Drosophila melanogaster: one gene and its partners. The protein of the gene in region 3 purifies or fractionates together with the protein of the main gene of each other region. This does not show direct contact. Each region holds a gene or a part of one and is shown on either strand. Other genes may lie near its edges. The genes, in order: TpnC4, Scp1, mAcon1 and TpnC41C.

Region 1 (6,685 bases), on a different chromosome or scaffold from region 3:
TTTTTCATATGTGTGCGCCGGGCAGTTTGGGACTACAAACCCCGAAACGGGGTTGGCAAGCATTTTAAATTAAAATAATACTGCTTAAAATGTAATGCTTAACCACAACTCTATATGGACAGACAAACGAACATGGCCAAATCGACTTTGCTTGTGATCCTGATCACGAATGTATATACTCTATAGAATCGAAAACGCGTGAAATACTGATTACATTATATAGGATCAGGGGACAAACTGCCCTTCCGCTCATCTGCAGGCGTATTTAAGATCAGATCTGTTGTCTTTCCTAGCAGTTTTTCGGTTAATATTTTCTTGAGGTGTAAGATGACGGACCATTGCCAAATAATCACACTTTGGAGCTCCAGCAGAACTTGAACTGTAATACTCCATTCAAATTGCTAATTGTACATCGCTATATATGTACCTACCTATACGTAGCTTTTAGGGCCATTGGAAAAGAGTGCTTAGGCACATGCATCATTGGCCCACTTGTGGGTTGTAACTTTGTCAATGTGAGAGACGCCACGTAAATCAAGTTTCGGAGCGACAAGTCATAACGGTCATAGCGTCAACGTAAGCCTAAAAAGCCCAGCCATTGGCTATTTCACCGTATAAGACAGAAATTCGTTTTCACAGACCGTCCAACCATCAATAATTAAAAGCCATGATGGAACTATTGTCTTTCACTGGGCGTCTTCCTTGTAGAATGCGACAGTGCCTGCCTTGGGAACGATTCTATAGGCCCAGCAGTCCCCTCCATGTCATCTGCTACGAGATGTAGGCTGTGTACCACATTATTCTAACGTGTGGGCGTGGCAGTTTTGGGCGGCTTGAGGGCGTTAGCGTGAGTCAACAAACTAGCGCTGCGTCTATGTCTCTGGAATGGTAATCTCGACAGACGGAAAGGGTCAGATCGACTCGGCTATTGATCCTGATCAAGAATATATACATACATACATTATATGGTCGGAAACGCTACTTTTCAGCGAAACTAGCACTTTTACTTTACGAGTAACGGGTATAACAAACAATGAGATCACACATTTTTGAAAGTGTGAAGGTAAAATTGGTTTCGTGAAGTACTTTATCTACGATAAAATCATATTAATTAACAACTTTCACTAAATTAATAAAATATAAATAGCTTTCACCCCATTTTGACACTACGTGATGAATGCACCAACTTCGGTAAAATATATGCAATGGTACATTTTGATACTCATCAATTATCGCGCATTTCTCTTGATTAGGTAGATTAGGAAGAAACAGTAACAGGAAAGGAAGCTTGATTCAGTAAGTAAAGATATCTTAAAGATATAAATATTACTGTGCAACGAGGAACGCTTAAAAATATAAGTTCCGCGTAATATTTATGGTTGAACTGTCAAAGAAAATGTTTGTTATTTCCCGTATAGATTAAGTGTTATGGTAAATCATTAATTTAAGAAATATGTTGCCTTTATGGTATCAAAAATACTTAAATTTCTAATTTTATATAAACTAAAAAATAAAAATTTTTAATTGGATTATTGCTTTTACAATTTAAGGAATAAAAGTTTCGGCATAAAGACCACCCTTACTCTTCGAGCGCTTCTTGCTCTTATTTCCTTATCATCGATTAGGATGAAAATTTAGCCGTTTGTATACAGATGTAGTCGCTTACATTTTTATTGTTAGCGTTCGTTCGGAAAAGCTTTGGCATTTTCCATTGCCGATGAACTTAGCTAACATAAAACACAAATCGAATTGTTTAAAAGCTTGGTGATAATTGAAAGTAGCGTACCCTGTTTCTTTAGCTCCTCTTCTGGGACACTTTTTAGATTATCAAAAATATCGTATAGTAATAGTAATATAGTATTTTTATATTATATTTAAAGGGTTTTCCTAAACCTTAGCGGTGTAATTTGATTTAACAAAAAAAAACTCTTTAAAATGGTAAGTTACGATATTATAACTTTGATTAAACTAAAAATTAATGGAGCACATTCTGAATTTTTTATATAAAATTTACTGTTGACTAAATATAAATATAAATATAATTATTTACCCTTGCTATGAAAAAACACAATTTATATAAATATAAATTCCACAAGCGATAAAGTATAAAGTATTAAGTTTGTAAAGTGGTTGGAAATAAGCTGTCAAGGGAAAGTGATTTTTGATATATTTTTTTTTTTGATATAGATAGTGTCTATCTACGTATGAGACAAATAGGAACTTAATTGTCATCACTGCCGTTAATCTGCAGATCATTTTCAAAACATTAAAATGTAGACGACAACGTGCGCTATGTGGATTTTAATAACCAGACAGTGAAGAAGATATTACCTTAAAATTTTTTAATTTATCATTAACTTAGTATTTATTGCAATAACACCCGCTACCCGTTACTCGTAGAGTAAAAGGGTATACTCTATTCGTTAAAAAGTATGTAACTTGCAGAAGGAAGCGATTTCTACCACATAAAGCATAGACATACATTCTTTATCAGGAACAATAGCCGAGTCGATCTAGCCATACATATAAGGGATATATTGTTCTACATCGCTAAAGTAGAGTCTTCGAACATTTATGGTAAATCAGTTGCATACGGACAGACGGGCTACCGAGCAAAAGTTGACTTCGTTACAAAAAATGCACATAAGAAAACGTACCCTTTTTGTGCATGAAAGACATGCATCTGTATGCAATATATTTTTGGAAATACAACATACCCGTCCACCAAACGAGTATAATTATGACATTACTCTTGTAGACACCAGGCTGACATGAACATATAGTTCATTATCTTAAAGATTTTATTATATATCCATACTTCTTTCAGGCCGATGGAGAATACGACAAGGAACAATTGAGAAGTAGTATAAAATTAAACTTTTATTTACTATTTAAAAAACGACGTATTAGTCCTTAGGAACGCCTTCAAGGCTTTCGACCACGACGGTGCAGGATCGATCGAACATGCTGATGTATCTAGCATTCTTGAAATTTTGGGTCAGAAATTAGAACCACCTGCGGTAAAGGCCCTTATTAAAGAGGTCGATAAAGGAACAACTGGTAAATTGGATTTTAGCCAGTTCTGCAAACTGGCAGCTCGCTTTATTGAAGTTGAGGAAGATGTGGGAGCTCTTCAAAATGAGTTAAAAGAGGCCTTCCGTGTATATGATAAAGAGGGGAAAGGATACCTGACAGTTGCAACACTAAGAGGCATTCTTCACGAATTGGACGATAAGCTTTCTAACCAAGACTTAGATATGATTATAGAAGAAATTGATGCGGATGGATCCGGTACGGTTGATTTTGACGGTAAGTAGTTTAATATAATTAATCAAACATTCAATAATAACGTTTTCATTGCAGAATTCATGCAAGTTATGACAGGTAATACATGATACCCTTAAACAAATATTAGTTCCACCTATGTAAAAAAACACATTCAAACAAAACAATATTATTCTGACCTTCTTTACGGTTTGCCGTTTAAGGGTGAAGTGACGATACCACCCACGTGCAAAAAATAATCAACTTGTATGACTACAATTGATATTGCATATATTGCATAAATTATAAATTCATAATATAAAATTTACGCAAACGGCGCCCGTTTTTCTAAAATAATTCCTGTCCACCAAAACATTTTCTATTAAACGATTTATTATCGTATTGCCTTGTAAGGATGTGTTTTTTTTTTATACTTGGTTTTTAATCGTCAACATAACGGCATAAGCAACATCAGTTATGACCGTAAAATGTTGCTTATGCCGTTAGACGATTAAAAACTAAGTGTGCTAAGGTCTCTATACCTAAGACAAGAGAGAAGACCACAGTCCAGTTATGAAATCCTAAAGAAAAATGAAAAAAAAAAATTGGGCGTGGCAGTTTGAGCGGCTTGTAGGCGTTGAAGTGCTGATGGCAAAAAGTTTTTTGGCAAATCGATAGAAATTGTCAAGCTTATTACAAATTTAAAAATATTATAACATATATTTTTTTTTTTTTGGGTATGCGTGCCACGCATATGCATGGCAATGGCTGGGATCCAACGTAGGGTCTTTTCTTTAAGCTTTTCCGGGTTTAAGGTTCTTAGGACCACGATTCCTGTGATCGATTCTGATCCATATGGGCATGTCCGAATGTATGTCCCTAAACATCTCCGCTTCTGGGGAGAATCCTCTGTTACATCCAATACCTCGTGTTTTTGTAGGGTTGCGTTAATCGCTGCTTTACCGTGCCACTTTTTATACAACATGCAAAATGCAACATTTGGTACAAAAGGAATCAATATTATTTACTGACGTGCCAAATGTTCATTGGCAAATAGGAATAGAGGGATGCATAACAAAAACCGGGTGTTGACTTGAGTGTTGATCACCTTACATTAAGAGATCAGTTGAACAAAGAGCGTAAAGTGAAACATCAATGAGAAAGAGTGAAAGTCAGTAAAGTATCAAACTGATCAAATCAAAGTAAACTGGCTTGTTGTGATCAGACTCAATATGGAGTTGGCTTGAGATTAAAGGGTAATGTCAAGGTCCATACAAAGAAGTAAAAAGTAAAGAAAGAAATGTAGACAAGGTTGGCGATGGTGAATGTCCGGTCCTTTAAAAACATCCACCATATCTGAGTTCGTGCCGAATAGCAAGTTAGATGTACCGAATGTTGAAGTTTGAAACAAGCCAGAAGAGCAAGTAGGCAGACAAAAACTGAGAGACTGTCGTTTATGATAATAAAATGACGTCGCAGAAGTATTTGTCTTCAAACAGAGCCCGTTTAGTTACATATATTTTTGACCAGAATTCATCTTCCAACACTGGAAACTCTTAGTGAAAGCACCTATCGATAGAATTGGAGGCAGATTGACTAAGAGAATAAGAACGGTACATAGTGTAAATAAACAACTGGAAGTTACGTAATAGGCAGCAAATTATGAAATTTCTTGGAACATTCCTTTTAGGTCCAGAGGGGGGGAGGGAAGCTGCTCCCCCTGCCCTACCCTGGCGACGCATTAATTGCTTTGTAAACTTCTATAGATTTGCTAAGAAAGTGTCAACATTTTTCGTTCCCCCTCCCACTAAATGAGTAATGAGTATCTGATAGTCCAGTAACTCGACTAGAAGGCAGATGACAAAATGACACCGATAAAAATTGGTAGAAAAAACATGATATTATAGAATGCTATAGTCCAGTGCCTCGACTATCAGATACACGTTACTCAGCTGATAAATTTAAAAACAATAAATATGCCTCCATATATGGATGTTATATATTTGCCGCCCGAATAAGCTACCGATTGGGCGTGGACAACATGTTTTTGGTATATTTTCAACACATTTAAGAAGTGTGTGTGTGGCGTTAGAGGCGCGACAAAATTGAATTTTATATATATATATTTTTTTATTATATATTTTATAAAATAAAATGTTATAAAATATCAACATATTTTTAAGACATAGATTAAGATTCCTGAGACATAGACGAAGTGCAAGGTTGTTTCTCAATTTTGCCACGCCTACTTTTACGCCCACAAGCAAATCAAAGCTGCCACGACCACACTTTTTAAAATGTTTTTATATTATTCATTTTTGTATACGTCTTATTAATTTCTATTGATATGCCAATACCCAATCTTCACAAATCTGCCACGCCCACACTTTTGAAAAATTTTTTGATTATACCAAACAATTTTGGACGCCCCTTCTAGCACCTATAAAACGACCAAAACTGTCACGCCCACCTTTTTTTAAATTTTTTAATATTTTTAATATATTATTCTCTATCTAATTCTATCGATATGCCAGAAAAATTATGAAAATTCCCATTTTCCCTTCCACTAGCTGAATAACGGGTATCTGATAGTCCGGTAACTCGACTATAGCATTCTCTCTTGTAATTTCAAATATTTCGTTCCTTATCCTTATATTTCGTTATATAAATATAAATATTTTTATAAACACTAAAACTTTTCTCTTCCAGGTTGACCCACATTGCTCTTTTTTGACATGCTGTGCAAAAGCTCAGATATGGCAGACAATGCAAAATCAAAAATACATAAAACAATAATAGCCATTAGTTTTGTGTCAAATATTATAAATAAAATTTGATTGAAATGTATTAGCATCATTTTTCTCTTATCTAATTTAAATATAAACAAATATCGGGCCAAAAGCAGATAAGGCCGATGTACGAACAGACGGATGAACATATGTGGTAAAGTAACAGGTGTGGCAAGGCTGTACTGTTTCCTCTTCTCCTTGCGTTCTTTGATGCTTAACTTATTTCATTTATTTTCAATGTATGGGAATAAAGCGACAAATTATCTGAGATTGGGAATAAATGTGTTAGAGCGTGACCGATAGTGCTGTTGCTGAACGTGGTTAAAGTGCGAAAGAGATACGAGAAAAGGAAATGAACCATGCTAGAGGCGAGAGCGTCAGTTGTTGGTTAGAAGCCAAAGCAGATAGAAGAACTCGTTGATACCTCAGCCTTACAAAATAGATTACATTTTACAGAAAAGATGTACAACAACACTCAAAATCCTTATGAGCCGATATCAAAAGTGGGATCTGTGCCGCACCAAAGACACTAGAATAGTGTCTTTGGCCGCACCCTGCGATTTCCGAGGGAACAGTGGCGTGCAGTTCTCGAAATGCAATACGGAATTTCGATGAACTTGCGAAAATCATGC
Region 2 (4,555 bases), on a different chromosome or scaffold from region 3:
CAGTTCAAGAAAATCCTAAAGAAAAGCTTCTGGCCAAGGTTGAGTGGATTAGGATTAATATTTAGAAGATCAGTCTGAATCGGGACGAGATCGTGAACAGTTTTAAATTTAAGACAAGAGATAAAAAGAATGTCTTGTAATAGTATAAGTGAAAAGGTCTATCATGAATAAAATATTAAATTATAATAAAATAAAAATTTTTTGTTCAAATAATTAAAAAGGAACACTTTTAATTTGCACAAAGATTAATATTGTAAACCATTAACAATGAATATAGATTTCAGTGATTTCATAGCTTAGCGATTGGAGATCCAAGCGAACACTCGAAAACCGTGTTGTCTGAACACTCTGAAATATTTTCCCTACGACCAAGTGAAGTTGAGGTTGCCATTTGGAGTCCACAAGAGTCCCATAGGCATTTAGAGAGATTTAAAGCTCGGCTTAACTTAGCCTAATATAATTTCGGTTAATGATCAACATAACCTAGCTGTAACCTGCCGTCAGAGTGGGCGTGGCAAAGAGTTTTGTGGCCAATCCATAGAAATTTTAAAGCCTAATAAAAATATGAAAAAATGAGTGTGCGTCTTTATCTCTAGAACCTGTATGGTTAATTTCAACCTTCTAGCTTTTATAGTTCCTGAGATCTCGACGTTCATACGGACAGATGGACATGTCCGCTACTGATCCTGATTAAGAATATATATACTTTATATAGTCGGAAACGCTACCTTCTGGCTGTTACATACTTTTCAACGAGTCTAGTATACCCTAGTATACCCAATTTCTTAGCAATATGATAAAATAAAATAATAATTACGAATTTACACCTTGAATATATCACCTAAAGTACGATATTGCAACAAAACGACTTTAATTAAATATATAAACTAGGTTATATAGCGAAACTTTCAAAAAATAGAGAAGCTCGGCGTATAGTCAGCTTTAATCAAACGGATAATAAAATAAAATAATAAAATTTTAAATTAAAACATAACTTTTCCAAAAAGAAGTCATTACATTGAGGAAAAGATATTTCACAAAAATAATAAGTAGTAGAAAATAAATATTTATAAAATGAATAAAAATATGAAAACTTTTTATTGCAAAAGTCATATCTTGAGACACGAACACGTTTATTGCAACAATGATTGCCTTATTAATTTTTCACAAGGGGCAAGTGAACGCCCTAATAACCTTTGTTCTAATATAGTCATCTTTGAAATTTATTTTGTGATATTATGTACATATATATTCAAATAATAATATAGTTAAGGCAAAGAAACTAGACACTAGGGTCTTTGGTTAAGGCCATGCAAGCCAAGAATTTTTTACATGTTGCCAATTAAACAAAGATAATACAGATGTAAAGTCTATGAACTTGTAAATTGTCAAATTTACAATGCATTACCATACAGTTGTCGGCTGTCACTGTATGCGTAGAAAAGAACTGCTGAGCCACCTCTGGAGCCATCCCGATAAAATTGTGTGCAAAAAATTGTATGGCGTTACGCATCTTGTTCTTCAAATGTCTTTGGCTTAACCTCATATAAGCTGCAATGACCACTTGACCGGTTCCATGTGACCTCATTTTAACGGATTATAAAACTACATCATAAATATGGCGCAACATTTAAATTGCCAGACTTGAGATTGTTACATAAATCTGATCCGCAGCAATTGTAAATGTTATTTTTATTGTATTTGTGCGCTTGCAAATTTGATTAATCCTATCCAAATACCCTTTCAGTAATTACAAAAACATATATGTCTACTTAGCACCCATAGTGTTAAAAAACGAAACTTTTATTTATATTCTATTTTGGGTGTTTAATTTTCAAGCAGTTCTTAATGCAGCTATATGATATAGTCGTCCCATATTAAATAAAATTAAAATAAAATGTATATATTGTTAAAATATCGGATTTCGGATAGTTCCGAAGATATGTATAAAAATGGCTTTATGTATTCAATGCAATGGAATATAAACTTAAATTTTTTGTATAAAATATACGTAAATTTTTAAGGTATTTTAATTCACTATAGGATACGTTTAATAAGCCTAAGTCCTTTTCTACTCACCATACATATACCGAACGACAAAATCGACACGGTTATCCCAGGAATAAGCCATTATGACGGAATTTGTTTGGAGCTTATCCTCATAAAATGTAAATAGCTAAAAGTAGAAATACCATTACTATCTGAACTAATAAAAGTCTATAAATAAATTAAAATTTTTTGGTATCTATAAATAGTACTTTTAGGTAAAAAGTTCTTGAATAGTAAATATGAGCTCCTTACCTTCGGAATAGCTTACTTCAGACTAACTAAATTTGCTAAACCTTTTGCCAAAAGTCGTACACTTTGGCAACATTATTTACATGGTATGTATCTAAACATTATACATACAAATGTGTATTGTATAGAAAGTGCATTTGTATATATTTGTTCTCTTTCAAAAGGTAGTTTATTTTTAATTAGGAGTTTCCATTGTACTAAATGTAATTATTGTATTAAGTAAACTATAGCACTGTTTTGAAATCACAATCAATAACAATTCAGTTTTCTACTACCAAATATTAAGCCTACCTGTTACAATGTTATTCGTGAAAGTTTCCATATAGATTATGCTCTAATTAACCATTTAAAATGGAAAAAAAGCGAACAATTCACCCCTATTTAATTTTGTATTTGAACACTAATAGTAAAATATATCAAAAATCATTTTAACATTTAAAGAATTGATAATTAATTGACATGATTATTAATAGAAAAATATTTACTATTTTTGCAAGCTTACACACATGTATATTCACAAGTATATATTTATAGTACATGCATAACCTATTATAAAGCACACATTTTATAAAACTCACAATTCTTATTTTCGGTTTTATGTACATATACATATACATATATAGGAGATACAATATTCAACATTCAAATGTACAGTTTTATGTCTTATTACCATTGTGATCGGCGGTCTATAGTTGTCTATTACTGTTAAGATATAATATTATATAAAAACAATATATATACATATAAGAAAATATATATATGTTTTTATGCCCCATACGTGTAGAGTAAAATTAGATTCGTTGATTCTACGTGTAACGGGTATAATAATATAAAACAAGAGAGAAGGCTATAGTCGAGTTCCCTGATTATCAGATACCAGTAACTAAGCTAGGGTCAATGCTAACGCGAAAGTTCATAATTTTTCTGGAAAATCGATTGATATCGATTGATTGATTGATATTAGAAAAAAAATAAAATGAAAAAAAAATAAAAAATTGTTAAAAAAGTGTGGGCGTGACCGGTTTGGTGGCTTTAGGGCGTTTGAGTGGGCGTGGCAAAAAGTTTTTTGGCAAATCAATAGAAATATACACGACCAATAAAATTATGAAAAATATCTAACAATTTTTCAAAAGTGCGGGGGTGACCGGCTTGTCGGCTTTGGGGCGTTTGAGTAGGCGTGGCAAAATTTTTTTTTGCAAATCGATACATTGATCCTGATCATGAATATATATACATTTTATTGTCGGAAGCGCTTTCTTCTGCCTGTTTCAACCAATCTAGTATACCCTTTTACTCTATGAGTAACGAGCATTAAAAGAGTTGGACTATAAACTTAAGTGAGAACATCGTCTTTATAAGCTGCGAGTCTTTAGCTGTCGGCTGTGCTGTCCTTATTGGCAGAGGATCGACGTCGGCTTCTTGGAATCACAAGCGCTGGTGGGAGCGGAAACAATTGCCAAACACATTTTGGGAAATCTGCTTGGTGGCGCTGAGCTTGCATATTTGGGGTTTGTTACTCTATTACATTCTGTTGTAGACCGATGTTGAATTCATTGTTATTAACTTTAACTTTCTAATTTATGTAGGGAATGTTATTGAACTGAGGTAGCTGATGTTAACTTTTGTTTCCATTCCCGGTATAGGTCTAAGCTGCAAGTTTATGCTTCTCTTCCTTTGACTATAGGTGTGAAGGCCCAGGATGATAATCAGAGTATTGTCGAAGAGCGTCAGTAGGGTTATGCTGTTGGCCTTTTATGTATATGCAACGGTTCAGTGTTTCAAGAGATATAACCTCAGTCTTTCTTTTTCTTCATCTGTAAATTGTACAAGAGGCGAACTAGGAGACAGGGCTGTAGGTTCCAAGTTGGCGAATCCCCCTGTTGTCGATAATCATCGAGTCGTTTGATAGCTAAACAAAGTAGGTGAAGCTCTGTGAGGATCCAGGATATGATTCCATCGTAATCGTTTAATAGGATGATTCCGTCGTCGACCTCTTCCATTCTGGATAAGTTGTCGGAGTTGCTAAAACTACACAGATCTTTCTTTCCCAGAACTAAATTTGGAGAGCAATCAACTAATTTAATTAATTAATTTCTTATATTTACAATTTTTTTCTCATCGCATATTTATATATGTATATATAGGTAAGATTTTCGAAAGCAAAGATTTCTTGAAAGTCTAAGTTGTTGTAGTTCTGTTGTTTTTAACTATTGGTTTTACAATGATATCTTAGTATTTCTATAAAGTTTGCGACTTT
Region 3 (7,119 bases):
TCTCAACTTTATAGCGAAGCTTGTGAATCATATGTTTCCAAAACCCAGATGGCGAGTCCGCTTTCATTTCATCGGCAATCGCATCCCAGATTCTGTCTTTGAGCTCGAAATTGAAGAAATCTTTGTTGCGCTGATTCCACAAGCATTTGTGATCTTCATACAATGCGATTAACTTTAATTTAGCCTTGGCGGTCTTCATGAACTCCGGGCTAGGTGAGAAGGTGATGGGGGTCTTTCGCAAAGAAGTGGCGTCTGTATAAGTGTAGGAGCCTGTGCTGGAGTCAAAGGACGTTGTACTCTGTTCCTGACGCTTAAGTTTTGCAGCCAGTAGGGCTCGTCTTCTTCCCAACGATGGCTTGTCGGAGAGTGAAAAGAAATCCGTGCTGGAAGCAACGGAAGTTTTACTTTGAGCTCTGCGTTTCATAGTCCTAGAATTGGATTTACTAATAATTTATATTTGATTGACAATTCGACATATTTTCCAAAAGCTATGGGTGAATAATTAAGTAATCTGCCCCAGTAGATTCTATTATTGATATTATGCTTTATTGTGCAAATTGTTGTGTCTTACGTCTTATAATTGATAAAATTATGTTAATAATGAAGAAAATATAGAGGACACGGGATGAATTGACGGCACTTATTGTCCGCTTTTTTGTTTTAACTGTTGTTTATTAAATGAAAGAATCGGTTTAATACATATTACTTGAGTTTTATTCGCACTTAAAACAGTTTCATAGTAGAGGCAATCTGTAGAGCATTTGGACAAATTCAAAAAGAACAAAAATTGAAGGAAACGCATGCATAGCCAGAATTAAAAATAAAATTGTGTATAATTATATATATAAAACTCTTACAATTTCTCGCTATCGTTCGGCTACATAATTCACTTTTAAAGCTGCACACTCGATATAGTCAAAATATAATATAAACAATTTGAAAAGAATTGAATAACAATACCATAATTCGATTGCTTCCGTTGTGAATTTGAGTGTGTTCACCTACAGGAAGAAGGTTGGGATCAGGCTTCTTGACTGGGTGTCTTAAGTAGGTCCAGGACCATTTACTGGGCCAGCTCCTTCATGCGGTTGAGAGCGCTGCCGGCCTTGAACCAGCCGATCTGTAGGTCGTTCAGGGTGTGGTTAAGCTTGATCCTCTCGACCTTGTCGCCATTCTTGATTTCGGCATCTACGGGCTTTCCAGGCGCAAGGGATTTCAGGTTGAGCAGGGAGATTTTGCTCGTGGGCTGGATCTGTTGAAGTACAAAGATATGGTTAATATGACCTTAGTCACAGAAGCTAAGAGTCGCAAACCTTATCGTAATCAGCGGGATTGGCGAAGGTGAGAGGCAGAAGACCCTGTTTCTTCAGGTTGGTCTCGTGGATACGGGCGAAGGACTTGACGATAATGGCACGACCACCAAGGTGACGGGGCTCCAAAGCGGCATGCTCGCGGGACGAACCCTCGCCGTAGTTCTCATCGCCGACGGCCACCCACTTGATGCCGTTGGCCTTGTAGTCGCGGGCTACGTCGGGAACTCCTCCCCAGCTACCGTTGCGTTGGTTCTTGATGTTGTTCATCTCGTTGTTTTCGTAGTTGGTGGCTCCGATAAACATGTTGTTGGAGATGTTGTCCAAATGGCCACGGTACTTCAGCCAGGGTCCGGCAGCGGAGATGTGGTCAGTGGTGCACTTTCCCTTAACCTTGATCAGCACAGTCAGATCGGTCAGATCCTGGCCGTTCCACTTGTCAAAAGGCTCCAGCAGCTGCAGACGCGTCGACTTGGGGTCGACAGCCACCTTGACATTTTCGCCGCTCTGTGGGATTTCCATATTGATTCTTAAGAACAATATAAATCAGTTTGGGAATTTAAATGTACTTACGGGTGGGGGAGCAGTGTAGGTGTCCTGGCCGGGATCGAAACCCTTGGCGGGCAGCTCGTCGCCGAAGGGAGCCTTGAGCTTGAACTTCTTGCCATCAGCACCAGTAAGCTCGTCGGTCAGCGGGTTGAAGTCCAGACGACCGGCGATGGACAGAGCGGTGACCAACTCGGGACTAGTGACAAAGCAATGGGTGGCCGGGTTAGCGTCGTTCCTGCCAGTAAAGTTTCGGTTGTAGGAGGTGACAATGGTGTTCTTGTCGCCCTTCTTAACGTCCTTACGATCCCACTGTCCAATGCAGGGACCGCAAGCGTTGGCCAGAACGGTACCGCCGAACTTGTCGAACACCTCAGAGATGCCGTCGCGCTCGATGGTGGCACGGATCTGCTCTGATCCGGGAGTCACATTGAAAGGAATCTTCGACTTGAGGCCATGGCTCATGGCATCCTTGGCGATGCTGGCGCAGCGACCCATGTCCTCATACGAAGAGTTGGTGCAAGAGCCAATAAGACCTACACGGATGTCCATAGGGTACCCGTTCTTCTTCGAGTTCTCGCCTAGCTTGCTGATGGGATGGCCCAAATCGGGAGTGAATGGTCCGTTAACATGGGGCTCCAGGGTGTCTAGGTTGATTTCAATCAGCTCATCGTACTCGCAGTTCTTGTCAGCGGACAGAATCTTGGCCTGGTACTTCTGGGCTTCGGAGGCAATGCCAGCACGGCCTGTCGATTTCAGGTAATCAGCCATGCGCTGGTTGAAGGGGAACAGAGAGGTGGTAGCTCCGATCTCAGCACCCATGTTGCAGATGGTGGCCATGCCTGTACAAGAGATAGAGTCAACACCCTTGCCGTGATACTCAATGATGGCACCGGTGCCTCCCTTGACGGTCAGGATATCGGCAACCTTCAGGATAACATCCTTGGGCGAGGTCCAGCCGCTGATCTTGCCAGTCAAATTGACACCAATCACCTTGGGGCACTTCAGCTCCCAGGGGATGTCGGCCATCACATCGACGGCATCAGCACCACCAACGCCAATGCACAGGCCACCCAAGCCACCACCGTTGGGGGTGTGTGAGTCAGTACCAATCATCAGCAGGCCGGGGAAAGCGTAGTTCTCCAGAATGATCTGATGGATGATTCCGCTGCCTGGCTTCCAGAAGCCCAATCCGTACTTTGCACAGGTGCTGGCCAAGAAATCGTACACTTCCTTGTTCAGGTCCTTGGCACGGGCTAAATCCTTGGGTCCACCAATCTGGGCCTCGATTAAATGATCACAGTGAACAGTGGAGGGCACAGCCACCTTTTTCAGTCCGGAGGAGATAAACTGAAGCAGAGCCATCTGTGCAGTGGCATCCTGCATAGCCACACGATCGGGGCGAAGACGCAGGTACGAAGTACCGCGCACGATGTCCTGGTTTGCGGGATCGTCCAGATGCGAGTACAGCACCTTCTCGGAGAGAGTCAGTGGGCGGTTCAAGCGACCGCGCACCACTTCCAGGCGCTTGTTCAGCTTCTCGTACGGCAGGTAGACGTCCGAGTCGAACTTGGACAGAGCCACTTTGGAGGCGGTGTAGCAGGAGGCGTGGAACTGACGCACCACTGTGGCTTCGGACGCAACATGCTTGCCCAGTCGACACACCTGGAAAGCAGATAAGAAGTCGAACTGTTAAATATGGTGAAGTGGTACATTTAGCAATCAAGATCAAGTAATTAACACAATGTGATTCTCTAGTTTATTTGCACTTCGCACACTGTGAGATTTTATTTATTCGCTTGGTAGCCCAATAAACACTTGATTATCATGTCAAGAGGACGAGTCCTCGTCACTTTAATTAAATTGATTCCTCTATCAGGAAATGATAATTCCCAAAGATATTCTGACAAGAGTACAATCATGTGGGGACCATATCTGTGAAAATTCTTCTTTACTGTACATTTAATCTTGCATACATATATAACAAATGTAAAACATTATTATCACCGCTTTCACTTGTTTTAAGATCAATATATTGCTAAAGCTAATAAATTTTAATCGTCTTGAAATTTTTGAATAGCCAAAAATAATCCATTGATCCATTTACCGCTTCAGAGTGAAATTTTTCCAAATATTTTTTTGAGATTAGTAAAATGATTGAAAGTTTACATTTAACAATCAAAGTATTTTAAGTGCTAGCCAAAGTGCTTTAAGGTTCTTCGAACTGCAGAATAAAAAAATAAAAAGTAGCTGGAAATATAGTTTGTTTGTAAGCCTTTCAAATTGTTACAATATTCTACAGAACACTCCAATTAGAAGAACCACGTGACGACACGACTGTATGTACATACACGCAAATCGAAACAATTGCAATGACAATTACGTCAAATAGGTCGTTAACTTATGGGCAGAGTACAGTGAAACCTTTCTCGAAGCTGACGTGGAAAAACCCCACTTGAAAGGCAAAACTCCTCCAATGCGCGTGATACTCAAGTTAAACGGCGCAACTTTTTTAAGCTATATTTAGTGCTGGCATTATCAAAGTGTAAGTAAACCTGTCACAGATAAGACGGTCCTCCGCCACAAGATATATGCTCTAGAGGGTGTTCGCCTCCTGGTTAAATAACTGGACCCCGGCGATTATGTAAATGCAACTATGCCAACCATCGAACCCCCACGAATCGCTGTTAATTGTTGAGAGCTAACGATTTCGCATGGTTCACTGCTGCGTATTCAGTATACATGTTTGGGATGCAGGGCCTGTAGAATCACAAACACTGCGAACTCGGTTACCTAACCACTTCGAATTTTATGATTTTAGGTTAGAAAACGCTGTGCGAAAAATTTGCTATTTTTCGCTGCCCACATCCTGCTGGGTGTGTAAGAAATGGGCAATGATTTTTTGTAAACTTTCGCGCAGTGCTCTGTCCAGTTGTCTTTATCGCAGCTTGGAATTTCGGGGTTCCATTCACAGATTCTATACGTAAACGTATATATAGCCGTGGTTATATATTGGCCGACTGGAGGCACAGGCTCCGCTCTAGAACCTACCTGTGCCTGGGCGTTCATCAATCTCGCAGCCATGGTCGCGTCCTGATTAAGCGATACTCGAAATAAACCCGACGAAATTGATATTGCAGCAAATGCTTCGAAGCCGTCAAAATTTTCAGCCCTCTCAGCCGGAAGATTTTAAGACAGACTAAATTCTTTACCACGGCGACCAGTGTTAGCTGGCGTCACGCATACGCGTCAGCAATGTTCCGCCGGCTTGTTTCCCGCCAAAATTGGGTCGTTAAATAAATAGGACCATAGAAAGTTTATCAGTTTTGAATTAAAGCGATAAACATTTATTAACTTCAAGAGAATTAATGGACTCTATGGCGTTAAAACTTAAATCGAAGTAAATGCTGAAATAATGCACTGACGACAACTTATTTTTCTGAGCAGGGACTTGGATTAATTTATCCTTTAGCTTTTTTTTAGCAGCCAGCGCAGACGACTACCGCGCTGTGCTGTCCAACACTGCCCATTTGTTTGCGTGGGCGGGTGATACTTTCCCACAACTGCGCGAATAATAAATAGGCTCGGCTGTGAAAAATGTTTGACAATGGCCAGTCAGCATTAGTCCTGATCCCCTTGCCATGTCCGAGCGTCGCGTAGTGCATGAGATACCCGGAGAGTACCAGCCAGTGCCCAGAGCACCGGAAGAGCCAACCCCTTTGACCACATCGTGTTGCCGGCGTCCCAATTGCGGCCTAGGGCTCCAGGATGAGCGAAATATCTGTTCCTGCAAGCACGGCTACATCATACCAGTGCTTATACTCTTCGTTCTGGTGATGATTGTGCTTCTGTTGCCTTGGGAGACCTACCATCGAAATGAAAACGGAAACAGCCCCGTTCCGGTGGAAAAGCCGTTACCATGTCAACTCGAACTGGTGGAGAGCTTGCCCTTGGGGTTGAACTACAGCCAATGGCAAAGCCACCCCCAACTGAGTAGCACCTTTGATGCCTGGCAGCTACTACTAGGCAGGGCCAAGGCATCGTTGGACATCGTTTCTCCGCACTGGACACTGCGCGGCTTGGACGTCAACGATAGCAGCACCGGGCCTGGAGATCAACTCTTTCAGCAGCTACTGTCGAATGGAGATGCCGGCAGACCCAAGCTGCGCGTGCGGATTGTGGTTAATCGCAGCCACGATAGCCTGTGGCATGCTGATGCCCGTATCTTGGCTAACTACGGAGCAGCCGACGTCGTGGGCATTAATTTTCTGCACTCAAAACTGTGGTTAGTGGACGGGGAGCACTTCTACTTGGGCACAGCTAGCATGGACTGGCGATCACTGACGCAACGCAAGGAACTAGGTGTGCTGGCCAGAAATTGTCCCCATCTTGCTCTAGATCTGGGAAAGATCTTCAAGGCGTATTGGTACCTGGGCAGCAATGAAGTGCCAAAGAGCTGGCCGTGGATATACCACACGCACATCAATCAAAGAAGACCGCTTTTGCTAAACATCAACAAAAAACATACAATGAGAGCTTATTTATCCACATCACCACCAGAGTTGATCGCTACTGGAAGGACCCGAGAGCTAGATGCCATTTTAGAGGCTATCGACAAGGCCACAGACGTTATATACCTCTCCTTAATGGAGTACTCTCCTCGGCTAAGACGGAGTAACAAATTGGAGTACTGGCCGGTCATAGACAATGCCCTGCGTAGAGCTGCCTTGGAACGCGGTGTGGCCATTAAGGTGCTTATTTCATGGTGGAAGTATTCGGATCCCAGCGAGGATCACTTCTTGAGGTCCCTTCAAGCGCTCGACAAAATTACGGAAGGAGTAGATATACAAATGGTAATGAGCTTATAAGTATTGGCAATTTTATTAACAATTTCTTTGCTCTTGCAGCGACGTTTTGTTGTACCCACCACAAATGAACTGGAGAGGATTTCCGGCGGTAGAGTTAACTGCAACTCGTACTTAGTCACCGATAGGGTTGCCTTTATAGGCACCTCCAGTTTTTCGGGAGAGCATTTTACTTACTCAGCTGGCATTGGATTAGTACTCCAGGACATGGAATACAACAATAATAGTCTCCGTACAGATTTAATGGCAATTTTTCTGCGGGACTGGTTTAGTCCCTATGCATTGCCACTGAAACCAATTTTACGAATTTGAATTACGCTTTTAAACCTGCCGGCATTTTGCAACACCGCCACCAGCTGTTCATGTCATAACAAACGCAAGACCTAACCTCAAATTCT
Region 4 (7,346 bases), on a different chromosome or scaffold from region 3:
GCCTAATAAGGTATGGATCGCATTCAACGCCTCTTAGCGTTTCTGGTAAGTCTCCGCACAATAGGGTTTCCCCTCACGACCGTGCACCATAATTGATTTCATATATCTTATCTTATCTTATCTTATGCCCTTGAACAAGCTTAACGCTTTGCCATATTTTTTTTATTTTTATATATATTTATTTAATTTTTATATTTATTTCATATTTGGATTTTTTAAATATTTAGTTGTCACATCTGGCACATCACACCCGTGAACTATCTTGTCACCGTGGTGCGTATCAGCCTATTGTATTTTATTATTTGGACTTTTTGTTCACATTTTATAGTTTTTTCTCATCACCGCGGTGCACCGGTCGCAAGCATTTTCCCCTTTTTTTCATTCTCCATCCTCGTGATGAGCGAACTGTTCGGGCGCCAATCTAAGCAGTCGAAAATACTACTTGGAGTTGGAATCCTTGCAGGGAGTTGCATGCTTTCGGTTTTCACCATATGAAAAATGAATACTTCAAGGTCTTAGTTTCTTTTATTTCTATAATTAAGTACAATTTTATAATTTGATAAAAAAAAAAATCGAAAATCGAACGAGTGGCCAGCGCTTCGCCAGCCGCTCGTAAGCTCAGCGGCCCAACGCTTAGCCAAACACAAGGTCCGTATGCCCTTTCATCATCGGTACGCTGCAGAGCTCCAGAGTCGTTAGCCTGTCTTCCGGTGCTGATGCTGCGCTAGCTGACACCGACATTCCCGGCGGTGGAGGTAGAGTAGATAATGACCCACTTGCAGAACAATGACTTCAGCTGCAATTTGGTCAGCTAGAGGTGGTGGGAGGGGAAAGCACGTGCTGCCTATCCTCTAAATGTATGTCCTAGTCATGTGAATACCAAAGCTTTTCCCATCTGTTGTTTTGGTCTTTGCGTCAAACACCACCCGAAGCTTAGTGATAAGACTATCCTCTCTTATAAATGCTTAATGAGGAATTTAATATTGGCCTGTATCATTTTCATTGTATCGCTCTAGTTGCTTTAATGTTTTACCTTTCAATTCTCCAGATTTATTAATCGGACAATATCTTTTTTATAATTCTCTTAAGGCATTGTTTATCACTTCGTGCTTTTTGACTAAAAACAATCCTTGTCGTTTTTACGCATAATTCCTTAAAATTATCCGTCTTCCAGCTAATTTTTCTAAATTGACTGGCGAGTGAATCCGTTAATCCGCTTGGACTTCAATCTGCGATGTACCAAAAATTTCTTAACGCTCCGTACTCGTCCACCTCCCTTACAGAAACGTTAAATTCCGAGCAGCCAAGAGTCTGAAGCAAAGGGGGGAAACAAATGGCTCGTTGAGTCAGACTGATAGCAACAAAGAAAATGCAGTTCGACTAAAGTGGCGCAAGCAGTCCAAGGCCTCTAACAACACGGCCAACGTGACTATAAACTATAAACTAAACTATACAAAACTAAACTATACTATTTGCGTGGAACCGATAGAGATTTATTCCATTTGGCAGGACTACTTAAAGTAACTTAAAAGGGTTTTAAAAAAATGCGTAAGAATAAAATATTTTACGTTTTCATACGATCAATTTACTTATTTACTTTAGACAAAATAATATAATATAATTTTTTCTCATGTCATTCAATTTTGATTGCATTGTTTAAATTAAAATACTTATTTCGATGTACTCTTTTGATATTGTTTTAGTCGTCGCCACCGGTCATTACTTCCATAAATTCTATAAAATAATATATGTTATAAAATAGCAAAGCGTTTGTAATTCAGCTGTATGATTTATATACCATCAAAATCAACAGTACCCGATCCATCGGAATCAATTTCCTCAATCATCATGTCCAGGTCGTCATTTGTCAATTTATCGTCTAGTTCGCGCAGGATTTCACGAAGAACACCAGTAGTTATATATCCATTTCCTTCTTTGTCGTAAAGGCGGAAAGCTTCCTTCAATTCAGCCATCATAGCTTCAGCGTCCTCTTCCACAAGGAAGCGGGCTGCCAGGGTGGTAAATTCTTCAAATTCGATTTGGCCCGAACCATCCTCATCGACTTCAGCGATAATGTCAGCAAGAGTTGCATCATCAAGTTGATGACCCAACATGCTAAGTATCGTACCCACCATAGCTGTGTTGATATATCCATTTTTTTCAGGGTCAAAAGCATTAAATGCATTACGTAGTACTATAAGGAAATGCTTTTTAGTTAAGAAATCAGTAAATGGGTTATAAGCTTACATGCAGTTTGCTCCTTAGTCAATTCATCCTAAGAAAAATAAGGGTGTTTATTTAGAAATATACAATATAGGCATAATACTAAAATACAATTTCATTTAATATATTTATGCGTCATGACTTTAACTGTGTTTGAATTCTTAATTGTTAACTGCCTGATGTGTGGTTTGATGTCAATCTAATGCCAGTGATTAGTTTTTATTTCACGTAAGGTCAACGATAGTTTTGGAAATCGATTGGAATGCAAAGCGGCTTTCCTCCTCCAATATTCGCCATTTTTAAAGCCGCCTTGTGGTGTGTACATAGCTGAATTGCTAAAATTGTCCCTTCCAAAGGAGGTCCTACCTTGCTTGATTTTATAAAATTGTAAAATTCAAGGTTAAAGCCAAGAATTGCATGATGGGTCACACTAATAGCAACGAAAGAAAATCGCCAATAAACGAGTCTATTCCGGTAAGTGGAAAAGTTATTGGAAAAGTTAATAAACCGGGGGCGAAATATTTCATTCAGTACAAACATTTAGCCAACACCAACAAAAACTCTAGTCGGCTAAGACAAGTCCTAAGCCGGGCACACTGCCCTATCGTTATATGATCGACAGCTTTTATGCGGTAGTGAGAGTTGACGACAGACGAACGGTGGGAAAACAAATCATTTTTTTTAATTAAAAAATTAACTTAATAATAATTCTCATTATTTTGGAGAGGTGATAGGCTTACCAAGATTTATATATCATTAAAATAAACAGTACCCGAAGTCCCCAATCATCATGTCTACTTTAATTTTAAGATTTGTCTTCCAAAGCCGATAACATTAAAAAGGAAAATATTAAATTTTCTTGCGTGAGTGACATTTTATTTTTTGAAGTGTTCTGATGATTTTCGACCGAAAAGTACGGTGGTGAAGGAGTTTGAAGCTAAGATGAAAAATATGAAAGAGGGATCGTGGGAATTAAACTTCCCCGACGAACACCCTTACTCTTAAGCGGCTTAGAAGTCCAAATTGAAATTTTGCCCCACTTCAAACGAAAGCTCACTACTTTACGATCTTCAGCGAGTTAAGCCAGTCTTAACACGCTGAGTGCTTAGGCTCTGTGCGAAAGTCTTATGCAAGCCTCTACTTTACCCTTTATATATATGGGAGGAGTCCGTGATACCTCTTCATAAACAAATATATGTAAGCAATTACAGAGGGATCTCTAAAAGATCGGATATCCGTAGGCTTCAAAAACATGATAAATTGCTATTTCTCAGCTGGAAGTGTGAACGAGACATTTTTGGACATAGGGAGAAATTAGAGAATATAATGAGAAAAATGGGCGGCTTGTGGGCGTCAGAGTGGGCGTGCAAAACAATTTTTCTATCAACCCGTTACTCGTAGGATAAAAGTGTTAACTAGATTTCCAGACAGGCAGACCATATAAAGTATATATATTCTTGATCAGCATCAAAAGCCGAGTTGATATTTCCATGTCCGTCTGTCCGTATTCAGCGTCTCGATTTCAGCTTTCTGAAATTAAGCTTACAGATTCTAGAGACATATACGGAAGGCAAGTTCATTGACTCATGCTGCCACGATCACTCTAACGACCACAAATCGCAGAAAATTGCCCACACTTTTTAAAAATGTTTTGATATTTTTAAATTTTTTTGTTTGTAAATTTCTATCGATTTGCAAAAAAACTTTTATGTCTTTTAAATTTGTATCGATTTTCCAAAAATCTTTTTGCCGCGCCCACTCTAACGCCATAATACCGCAGAAAACTGGGAGAACCCCACTATAGCATTCTCTCTTCTTCTATTTCTTAGTAAGATGTTCTCAAGTTAGCTCCACTTATCTGCACTAATCTTGACCCACTTAACTTGTTAACTAGAGCACTTTCTTTACCTTTTCTTTCTAAATATGAATCTCTGTTTTAGAAAAGTAACAAATTCAATAAACCCCATCTTTGATATTTTTGTAGAAAGAAGCTTTTTCGTCCCTAAAAAGAATATAGGTATAAGCATAATCAGTATCAGGACCACTACCCGAGTCAATCTGGTCGTCAGTTGGTCAGCTATTCTGATCATATACACGCGATTTTGGGATCCATAAAAGCTAGAAAATAGAAACGACGGATTCAGAAGAATCTTTAAGGCTACTTTCAAATTAACCACGGATTTCGATATTTATACCCATTACTCGTAGAGGGTTTACTAGATTTGTTGAAAAGTATGTAACAGGCAGAAGAAAGAGTTTTCGACTATATAACGTAAATATATTCTTGATCAGGAACAATAGCCGAGTCGATCTGGCCACGTCCGTCTGTCCGTATGAACGTCGAGATCTCAGGAACTATAAAAGCTAGAAGGTCTTGTAAATTTCTATAGATTTGCCAAAAAACTTTTTGCCACGCCACTCAAACGCCCTAAAGCCGCCAAATCGGTCACGCCCACACTTTTCTTTATTTTTTTCTCATTTTACTCCCCAATATCTGTCGATATCCCAGAAAAATAATGCAATTCGCGTTCGCGAACTCGACTATAGCATTCTCTCTTGTTATACCTTAGATAGGCAGGAAGATGGACATGACCTGGTCGATTCGACTAGTGATCAAGAATGGGTGTATATAGATGTAAATGTACCTGTACATGCGGACAGACGGACTGACTGACAGACGGACCAAAAACGTAAGATTCCTTAAAGTAAAAATGTAGTATTTGCAAATCAAATACATGTGTGAGCTGTTTAATGATGTTTAAAGAAATATTAGTTGAATGTACAATATGTTTATTCTCTGACTTAATTGAAAAGTTATCGAGCAAACATTGCTGGAACGTGGGCGTTAAGCATTAACTCTCTATATAAAACGTTATATCGTTACTTATTTTATTTGAACTGATTGCACCCTGAAAAACGTTCAGTATTGAGATCATCTGAAATAATTTTGACTCCTTTAATCTTGAAATTTTAACTCGAAGTAGCTTGGAAACTTATACTGGGATTATTTTTTTTGCCGATTAACTTACGCTCATTTTTTTAGCTCTTTGGATTAATCTCTAATATTAAAAAATTGAACACTCCGTTAATTAAAAGCTAAATAAACAATTGAAGACGAGAAATAAACTTGGTATTGACGCGATTAAAACACATATGGGCTATGTGTCTTCTGTGGATGCATCTCAACATTCAGGAACATTTTAGACTTAATACGATGATAGCTCTGCAACTATTTTTGTTGAAACAAAAACAACAATTAAAACCAAATAAAAAAGACAACATAAATATTCCGTATGTCATGTAACTCAAAGATAATTTTATCCACAAGACAGAAAAATACTCAGAGTTTTATTTTTAGATACACAATATTCATCAAAATTCTTTATTTTTATAAACCGTACATTGCATTAGATCTTGGAACGTATTATAAAATGGTATTTGTGAACAAAAATTGCAATTCAAAAACAAGAGCGAACGCTATAATTTTGTTTCTCGCCCTTCTGATACTCAGCGTGTGGGAGTGTAAGGGAAATGGAGACACAAAAAACAAAATTAGAAAACACTCTTCACGAGATTACTCACAATTGCAACCTGGTAGCGGTTACATTTATTGTGGACGTGGCCAATCTTTTTGGGCATACTTATAGAAATTGGTCAAAAAAATTATGAATAGAATAAAAATATAACATTTCCTAAGCTTATACACCCTCGCAGTTATTATATATAAAAAATCATGAAAAAATCATATTATGAAACATAAAACAACGGAATATATTTTTTATACCCTTGACTACAAGATTCGTTATTAAATATGTAACAGGCAGAAGGTTGATTTTCCGATCCTATAAAGTATATACATTTTTGATCAGAAAGTTTCAAAAATCGGTCCCGCTCTCACTAGCTGAATAGCGGATCTATTGCTTTATTTGCTTATCTTCTGGCCAATTTATGTTTGAATACATTTCGAAAATGCTCCCCGTAAGTGGTGCAAAATCTAAAAAAATTATTATATTTACATTAAGAACCTATGTACACTTAAAACCAAAAGCACTTATCTATAAGACAAAAACTTGAGTAACCAAGAGCTAGAGGAGACTTCTCCGACACAATAAAGACCACTCTGGTTTTAAACTCGAAAGAGCTCAGTATGCCCCCTTTGGGAATACCGATAACTATATCCAAACTCATCAGCTTCCCCCTTTGGACACACTGATAACTTGGGCGCTGCCCGAGTTAACAGAAAAACGTTTTTTTGGACCGATTCAATGCGGTCCGAGTGAACGACGTATTGAGGACTCCAGACAGGTGGCCATTACTCAAAAATCAGACGGACTAAGGTTTTGGTCGTGTAAGGATCATAAAATTCCTTTGGCCACCTTTTTATAAAGCCAAGCACACCCCTGGCCTTATTTAATATTCGAAATATGGTCTAAAATTTAAGTTTAGGTCCAGAAAAACACCAAGATCATCAACCCGTTTTATTCTGTCTAAAGAGCGACCCTTTAAGTGCAAGTTGTGTGTATTGGTTGATACGGCAAAAGGTCATAACTTTACACTTGGAGCCATTTAAGTTTAGTACGTTATCACGGCACCATATTTGAAAGATATCTAGATCGGATTGTAAGTTCAAACTGGACTTATGATATGAATTCGTATCTTCGTAACAGAACAAGACGATCAATTCTTTCTACGATAGAAAAGGCGTTTGATTCCCTTGGATTGATAAGTCCAACTCTAAGTCGGTGGCAATATTTTTTCTGAATACTAAAATAAGACAGTCTGGCCTATGGCCTTCGATTTCAAAAACTGTGGAACAAGCCCGTTGTGAAGAATCAAATTTTTTTATTATATAATATCATATTCATTTTCGAGTGTGACAGGGACAGCTATGGCTAAGGGAGGAATATGAGTAACAAATGAACGAGTCCGTGTATTAACTGTGATCATGTCGCATGCGAGTATTCCGGGCATTGCCGCAGAGTTTTCCCATCAGTGTTAACTACTATTATGCCGTCTCCGAGTATTACGGGCATTTTCGTAGAGTTTCTCAGCAGTGTTACCTGCAACGGTGCCGCCTGCGTGTAGCCGGCCCCGTGTGCATTAGCTTGCCACCAGTATAGCTG

Evidence for each region.
Region 1: the proteins of mAcon1 (region 3) and TpnC4 purify together in Drosophila melanogaster (affinity purification with mass spectrometry, with the first as the bait; one large-scale study listed by BioGRID). This does not show direct contact.
Region 2: the proteins of mAcon1 (region 3) and Scp1 purify together in Drosophila melanogaster (affinity purification with mass spectrometry, with the first as the bait; one large-scale study listed by BioGRID). This does not show direct contact.
Region 4: the proteins of mAcon1 (region 3) and TpnC41C purify together in Drosophila melanogaster (affinity purification with mass spectrometry, with the first as the bait; one large-scale study listed by BioGRID). This does not show direct contact.

What each region holds. Positions count from the first base shown.
Region 1 is NT_033778.4:5,502,937-5,509,621, reverse strand, and holds TpnC4 (troponin C isoform 4), read left to right. Parts: upstream 1-1,755; 5' UTR 1,756-1,935; coding exon 1,936-1,938; intron 1,939-2,827; coding exon 2,828-2,861; intron 2,862-2,910; coding exon 2,911-3,309; intron 3,310-3,363; coding exon 3,364-3,384; intron 3,385-5,973; coding exon 5,974-5,978; 3' UTR 5,979-6,185; downstream 6,186-6,685.
Region 2 is NT_033778.4:2,965,016-2,969,570, forward strand, and holds the start of Scp1 (sarcoplasmic calcium-binding protein 1), read right to left. Parts: upstream 3,038-4,555; 5' UTR 2,969-3,037; intron 2,330-2,968; exon of another isoform or gene 2,302-2,329; intron 2,177-2,301; 5' UTR 2,132-2,176; coding exon 2,080-2,131; intron 1-2,079.
Region 3 is NT_033779.5:21,166,593-21,173,711, reverse strand, and holds mAcon1 (mitochondrial aconitase 1), read right to left. Parts: upstream 5,143-7,119; 5' UTR 4,941-5,142; coding exon 4,908-4,940; intron 3,522-4,907; coding exon 1,884-3,521; intron 1,818-1,883; coding exon 1,314-1,817; intron 1,253-1,313; coding exon 1,064-1,252; 3' UTR 528-1,063; downstream 1-527. Other genes in the region: CG31627 (uncharacterized protein), read right to left, coding at 1-424; CG43345 (uncharacterized protein), read left to right, coding at 5,498-6,709, 6,764-7,033.
Region 4 is NT_033778.4:5,064,730-5,072,075, forward strand, and holds TpnC41C (troponin C at 41C), read right to left. Parts: upstream 5,482-7,346; 5' UTR 5,259-5,481; coding exon 5,253-5,258; intron 2,276-5,252; coding exon 2,248-2,275; intron 2,195-2,247; coding exon 1,799-2,194; intron 1,735-1,798; coding exon 1,700-1,734; 3' UTR 508-1,699; downstream 1-507.